Bombyx mori: one gene and its partner. The protein of the gene in region 2 purifies or fractionates together with the protein of the main gene of each other region. This does not show direct contact. Links are inferred from orthologs where the notes say so. Each region holds a gene or a part of one and is shown on either strand. Other genes may lie near its edges.

Evidence for each region. The genes of interacting proteins can lie anywhere in the genome.
Region 1: the proteins of segment polarity protein dishevelled (region 2) and vang-like protein 1 purify together in Drosophila melanogaster (affinity purification with western blotting; 3 studies listed by BioGRID). This does not show direct contact. The link is inferred for Bombyx mori from reciprocal best matches to the Drosophila melanogaster genes dsh and Vang.

The regions. Positions count from the first base shown.
Region 1 is NC_085129.1:14,695,868-14,699,691, forward strand, and holds part of vang-like protein 1, read right to left. Parts: intron 3,672-3,824; coding exon 3,484-3,671; intron 1,873-3,483; coding exon 1,760-1,872; intron 1,375-1,759; coding exon 1,066-1,374; 3' UTR 1-1,065.
Region 2 is NC_085130.1:18,587,739-18,591,562, forward strand, and holds part of segment polarity protein dishevelled, read right to left. Parts: intron 2,979-3,824; coding exon 2,833-2,978; intron 1,933-2,832; coding exon 1,834-1,932; intron 433-1,833; coding exon 249-432; 3' UTR 247-248; intron 1-246.

The sequences.
Region 1 (3,824 bases), on a different chromosome or scaffold from region 2:
TCGTATCTTTCAAATGATAAAACAATTTCCAACACCCAAAAAATAAGTTTGGGTCCATCTTTTGCAAAAAAATTACAATTATAAGTGTATGGTTTAAATATGATAATTTAAAGCATGATTTCAAATAAAAAAATTAATGTACAAAATAAATCATTAACCTATTAAACATCAAAATCGATGACAATTTGAAATTTTCAATTTTAGGAGACCTAATGAATTTCGGACTTTAGATTTGAAATCGTTTTGCTGAAGTGGGAGGTGGTAACATTTTGTACAGAATCAACTTTACTAAATTAACCATTTGCTTCATATAAGAATATACCTTCATAAAGGTATATGTTTAATTCTACTACTGTTTAAATCTTACTAGTGGGCTTTCAACAAATTAACTACTAATACCTAAATTATTCTAATAGCTGCCACTCGTCTAACCTAAGTCGAAGCAACATCAGGCACTTAACTTGTCAAGTTGTATAGAAAAACTTGTAGAGAGCTCATAAAATCGCTACTAAAGAAGGAATGTCTGGACAGTCTTTTTAATGAAATACTTTTGTAACTAATACAGAATTATGAATACTAGATACTTTTATGTATTTAACGTGTGGAAAGCAGAAGTAAATAACACAGTCTCTGTGTATTAAAAAGTGTTCGTCGAATAACGACCAACTAGGGTGGCGCCACCGTAGCGTTTGGTGTGATTTCTAAGTAACGTCAAAATTTATTATACCAAAATATTTTCAGCTTAACGCGCTTCACTCCGTTTATGACAGCAACATTCAAATCACACACCACTCGCAACACCGGTGGCGCCTTTGGTGGGTTTTGAAATGCTAATTTGTTGCTTACGATTGGACACTTTTTAATGTGTCCATCATAAAACACAATTCTCGTTATCTCTACTCTCCTAATTTGACGTAATGAAATAAATGTAGGTATAATTTCAGCTGCATTTAACTAATGTCAAAATGACATTGACAATCACTCAGAGCATGTCATGTGCCTGAAAGGCCAAGACATCGAGCGTCATACCAGCCTCAGCCCGTCTCTAGCGTCGTACTCCTCCTGTCAAACTGACGTCTCCGAATTGAGCCTGAGCACGAACCTGTTGCTCTTCGGGTCAACGACTTCCTCAGACAAGCTGAATTTAGGTAGCTGTTTTATAGAACATATTAATGAAACGTCACCTTGACGGAGTTGGAAGTCGATGTTGTGGGCAATAGGTCGCGCTAACAGCTCGTCGGAGATGAGCGACCAGCGCTGCAAAGGACGAGTCTCGTGGTCGGCAGCCAGAACCGGGCCTTCCACTAGGAATGGCTCGAGGAAAGCACGAGGTGACGCATCCTGGGATAAGCAGCGAGCTAGATGGGCTAAGACCTGTGGATTTGAAACTTGTTGATTAACATTAAAACACTGAAAATTATTAGAAAGCTTGTTAGAAAAACTTAACATTAACATGCTGTGGTGCTATTCGGAAGCTGTTACCGATTTAATTTAAATAATTATGTACCAATGACATGTAATTTCAAAGACCGCGCGCGGTGATATAATGCAAATAAAATTACTCTCATTTGGCATGAGTTAGTGTTATCCTGCCCGTTTCAATATCAAGACTTCAAAGTTCTCTCAATGTGGGTATTTAAGGAATTTAAGGCAATGCATTTAAGAAACATTAATCTGAATATTAAAACACTAAATATGCTTACCCAACTAAAGCTTTTTAATCAATAAGATGTATGTAAAAAATATAGTATGTACTAACTGAGTCAGCAGTGTGTCTGGGCTGTTGCCTGGTGGCCCGGAGATACTTTTGCAGTGCCCGAGCTAGGGAAGGGAATACGGCCTGTGCAGCCTCGCGGGGACCCAGCGCTCCCCCTGAGAACATATCATCCGTCCGTATTACTATTAGTGTTATGGCTGTGGCTCTTCCACCTCCACTCCACTTTCGCTTGAAACCCAGTGGTCAAGTTTATTTTGAAATTAAAATAAGACTGTTCAATGACATCTGAATTGAAATAAATTATTTGGAATTTGAGTTCGAAACCTTGGACACGCTGTTATTTCAAAATGTAGAATTATATACAGAGAACGGATGGAGGAACATTAGAAGGGGCTCGGTGTCCATAAAATCGAACATGAAGTTAATAATTAGCCTACAACAGTTTTGGCTAGCATTTTATAAAACCTATACGAGGGCTGCACTAAAAGTATCGGGAATGGAATATTTCCACTGTTCCTGTCATATTAAAATCTTTTTAATTGAAAACTCCTTGGTTTTAAAAATCGAATACCATTTATTTATTTAAAAAAAGATTCTCGGTCTTGTCACGAGGTTTTGTCAAACTTGTTTAGTCGTTGAGAAAATGGAATTGACTCGAGAAAATTCAAGAGCGATGATTTATAATGACTTTCGAAGTGGTTTAACACAAAAACAGTGTGTTGACCGGATGATTTCTGCATTTGGTGATGAAGCCCCATCCAAAATCACAATTTATCGCTGGTTTGCTGAGTTTCAACGTAGACGTGTCAAGCTCAGTGATGATCCCCGTCAAGGTCGTCCAAAAACTGCAGTCACCCAAGAAAACGTTGATGCTGTGCGTAAGCTGATTGAGGAAGATCGACATGTGACATACCGCGAAATTCAGGCAACTTTAGACATTGGCATGAGTCAAATACAAATAATCTTGAATGAACAATTAGGTGTAAAAAAGTTGTTTTCCCGATGGATACCGCATTCGCTCTGTGAAGAGCAAAAAGCAGCTCGCGTTACTTGGTGCGTCAGAACTCTCGAAAGATTCCACGCAGGATCCTCAAATGCTGTATACAACATTGTATCAGGTGACAAATCCTGGATATACGCGTACGAACCCGAAACAAAAAACCAGTCACGAGTTTGGGTGTTCCAAAATGAGTTAAAGCCAACAAAAATTGTTCATTCACGGAGTGTTGCAAAAAAATGGTGGCCACGTTTGTCTCCAAAACCGGCCATGTTACGACTATTCCTCTTGAGGGACAAAGAACGGTTAATGCAGAATGGTATGCTAGCATTTGTTTGCCACAGGTCGTTTCTGAACTCCGTAAAGAGAACTGCAACCGCCGCATCATCCTCCATCACGACAATGCGAGTTCTCACACCGCGCACAGAACAAAAGAGTTTTTAGAGCAAGAAAACATAGAATTATTAGACCATCCGCCGTATAGCCCCGACCTAAGCCCTAATGATTTCTATACTTTCCCTAAAATAAAGAATAAATTGCGTGGACAGAGATTTTCATCACCTGAAGAAGCTGTGGACGCCTACAAAACGGCCATTTTGGAGACCCAAACTTCCGAATGGAATGGTTGCATCAATGATTGGTTCCATCGTATGGAAATTGTGTCAAATTTCGCGGAGAATACTTCGAAAACCAATAAATACATTTTTAAATAGTAATGTTGTGTCACTTCGTTAATTCCCGAAATTTTCAGTGCCGCCTAGGTACTCACCATTGGCAGCAGACAATCTGACTCTTCGGACGTGTGCAAAAGCATCATCCGCAGCCGCCAACAATCTGGCACGTCGCTTCCTGACTCGTCGCTCTCGTTCTGCCTCCTCGTGGTAGCGCTCGTTGTGCGCGGAGACCGACTCCCGACGCCGACCACTCCCGCTTCCGGCACAAGAACCGGCTGTCGATCTGTAATTTAGGGACACTAGTTTTATTCAGCAGATAAACAGACATGTCCCATGGTTTGGCCAGTGTTAAATTTGCAACTCAAAAATAGTTCATTTCAACATTAGTTTTTCCAGGAATCAAGAGTTGCTTGTTGTACTCTCTCATCCATATATA
Region 2 (3,824 bases):
TATTTCAAAAAAGATAACTGGAATGACCACATTTTTCGTGTGCCTAAATAAAAAAATAAAAAAACTATTACTACTAGTTCAAGTGAGTTCATATAGAGACTCTAGAGGTCTTCGACCCCACGTCTTGGTCTATTTTTAATTGTTACATTGCGTGTTAGAATTTTTAAGTGTGTGCGTGCGTGCGTGTGTGTGCGTGTGTGTGTGTGGGTGATCAGCTGATCGCTAATCAGCGCGCAGTACACTGACCGTTATAGGAAGAGCACAGGCCTGTCGGCGGGCCGCGGCGAGGAGCGCGAGCCGGACGAGGAGGACTTCCTCTCGTCGAGCGTGGGCCCCCCGGTGCCACCCGGACCCCCGCCGCCCCCCGCGCCGCGCTCCGAGCCCCCACTCGAGCCCCCGCTGCCCGACACCGCGGACTCTTCTCGGTTGTACCTGACGACAGAACGTCAACATGACCATTGAGGTAGGCCTTGACTATGTTACTGTCGTCTATCCTGCTCATTCCTGTAGGCTCTTTCTCTCTCTCTCTCTCAGCGTGCCACACACTAACGTCCGTGATATTGATTCATTCCTAATATCCATGGAGCTATGAAGGGTAGAGGTAAGGAGTAGCAACTGGGTAAATTTAAAAAAAGGCTAAAAACTATTAGAATAAGATAGAGAAATAAAAAAAGGACGAAAGAACTATAAGCAGTACAAAATCACAAAAAGTATATTATTTAAAGCTGATAAGAAAATGCAATCGATGTCTCCGCGATTTACCACAGCAATAATTTTAGGTTATATTGACGAAATTAGTTTGGACTACGTAAACATGCGAGGTCTTGTATATTACACTGTCACTAACTACTCTAGTCATTAAATATATTAAATTTCCTTCAGCATACTTCAATCAGTTAACAACTGCTCAATTCATATCACACCCTGTGCCTATGGTAGCGCCATTCTGGAGGATTTTTGAACTGTTATTAAGTGCTGAAAGTGGGACACTTTTTCAAGCATCTCCCATATGAGACGGTTCTCCTTACCTCTACGAACTACTAAGAACCATCTCAGTGTATTAAAAAGTGTCTGCTGAAAGATGGCGCCACAGTAGAAAGTGGAGATATTTTAGAAACGCGCCATAAGTTATCACCTTTCACTCTGTTTAAAACTGCTATATCCATATCATTTCCACTTCCTACTATTAGATGGCGTTCTTAATTCTATTTTTTTATAGGATTTTATGACCTGGTAACTAAGACTTTTAGGTCAAGTCTGATTATAATTTCAATGATTTTTTTTTATGAAAAACTAGCTGTACCCATCTGCTTCGCTGGGCATTTAAATTTAGCTTTATTATTTCTCAACCCCACAAAGATTCTCATCATTAACGTCCCCGCAACTGGTGTAGGGAGTCCAACACTCATATAAATATTAGCCTATCCATTAAGTACGTGTATTTTCTACATGGATACCAAGTTTCAAGTCAATCGGATGCATGGTTCAGTAGTTATAACGGAACATCCGTGAAAACCGCTGTAGATTTATATATTAGCATAGATGACATGTTCAGCGGCTTTGTTTCATTTTCCCACATTTGTGCACTTCCACAGATACAGTAAACAGTTAATAAACCACCGTTATTACACTTTTAAACCCGAAGAAACCTAAATAGACAAAATAAAACAAATCACACAACTTCACTCCTCGCGTTCCGGCCAAAAAGTCCTCTTAATTCTACCCTTCATACTGATATCAATACAAAACAAACACAGCTTAGCTGAACCGGCATGGTGTTTATACGTATGGCAACATTTTGCCTCCACTCATTCCTCTCAACACTTAACTCACCCGTATATGGTGTGTTCGCTGTTGGCACAGGAATACTTGAAGGGTATGGGCTGGTAGCCATACGAGCCCGCATATGGTACGTATCCTGGGCCCATGAGGCTGCGCAACAAGGAAAATTACAATTAAAACATGTGACATGTGTGGGTTCATTGTTGTTATCACTGGAGTACGGTCTAATTCTACTTAAATTGTCATTCCAACACACCCTAAGACCCTGGATCTGAACTCTTTCTGATGTTTCTAACTAATGTTCTAACTTTCTAATGTTCCCTGAACATTATGACGGATTCTTAGTAAGTCTCATGACGGTGCCAATTGGTGATAAATCAAGAGTGCGAGTGAAGTCGTCGTGGCCTAAAAGATAAGACGTCCGGTGCATTCGTGTTGAAGCGATGCACCGGTGTTCGAATCCCGCAGGCGGGTACCAATTTTTCTAATAAAATACGTACGTAACAAATGTTCACGATTGACTTCTACGGTGAAGGAATAACATCGTGTAATAAAAGTGAAACCCGCAAAATTATAATTTGCGTAATTACTGGCGGTAGGACCTGTTGTGAGTCCGCACGGGTAAGTACCACCACCCTGCCTATTTCTGCCGTGAAGCAGTAATGCGTTTCGCTTTGAAGAGTGAGGCAGTCGTTGTAACTATACTGAGACCTTACAGCTTATATCTCAAGGTGGGTGGCGCATTTGCGTTGTAGATGTCTATGGGCTCCAATAACCACTTAACACTAGGTGGGCTGTGAGCTCGTCTACCCATCAAAGCAATAAAAAAAAACCTATCCTTATTCAAATCAATTTCTAGAAAACTTCACCAGTAGCCAGCTGCTTTGTTGCTGTCCATGGACGACGACAACTACCGACTATCATTTTTATTGCTTAGGTGATGGACATCAGCAACACAAAAGCGGCCACCCGCCTTGAGACACGAGCCCCAAGTATCACTATAGCTGCGGTCTCCAACGGCAATGTACACAATGAGGTCCATGCACCGACCCCGGGTCCGGGAGGGGCTTGACGTCAGCGTCGTCAGCACGTATCCTGAGCGAGGACAGCTCGCCGCCCAGCCAGCCCGCGCCCGCCACGTAGTAACACTGCTCGCTGAACGTTATCTTGTTAACTGTGTGCCTTATGAAGCCGGCCTGGAAATAATACATGTATATTTATTTATTTTCATTGGCAGACTTAATACCTAAGGCATTCTCTACCAGTCAACCAAAGGTAGTGCAGAGTGAACAGCGGTAGGTGCAATGAAATTTATATTAAGTTACAAATGCATACACAAAAAAAAAGTATATGCGACAATGCGTGAACTGTACAGTAGACTAATTTAAAGTTGAAATACCTGAAACAAAATTTATTTTAACGAATCTAGCTATAGTAGAATCTAGCTAGTAGCTGTAGGATTGAAATGATTTTAATAGACCTAGAAATATATATTTTTTGCGCATCGAATATGGTTATTGCCTATCATTTATGTACAAAGCAGTTATTGTCGCTTAGTCATATTTGCCTTTCAAGCGTCGATATATACATATACATAAATACACAATCACATATACATACATACATATTACTCTAGTTTATTATGTATAGTATATTATATAATATTACTATATTCGAGTATATTATTACTCTACAAAAAATATTTGATTTGTTCAAGTCAAATGTCACTACAAATGTTGTACGGTTTAACCAGTTTTTTTTGTTGCACAAATGTCATTTATTTATTTTTATAGAAAAACTAGCTGTACCCACCCGTCCGCTTCGCTGGGAATTTTAAATTAACATCATCATTTCTCACCCCCACAAAGATTCTCATCATTAACGCCCCCGCAACTGATGTAGGGAGTCCAGCACTCATATAAATATTAGCCTATCCATTAAGTACATGTATTTTCTACATGGCTACCAAGTTTCAAGTCAATCGGATGCACAGTTCAGTAGTTATAACGGAACATCCGAAAAAACCAGTGTAGATTTATATA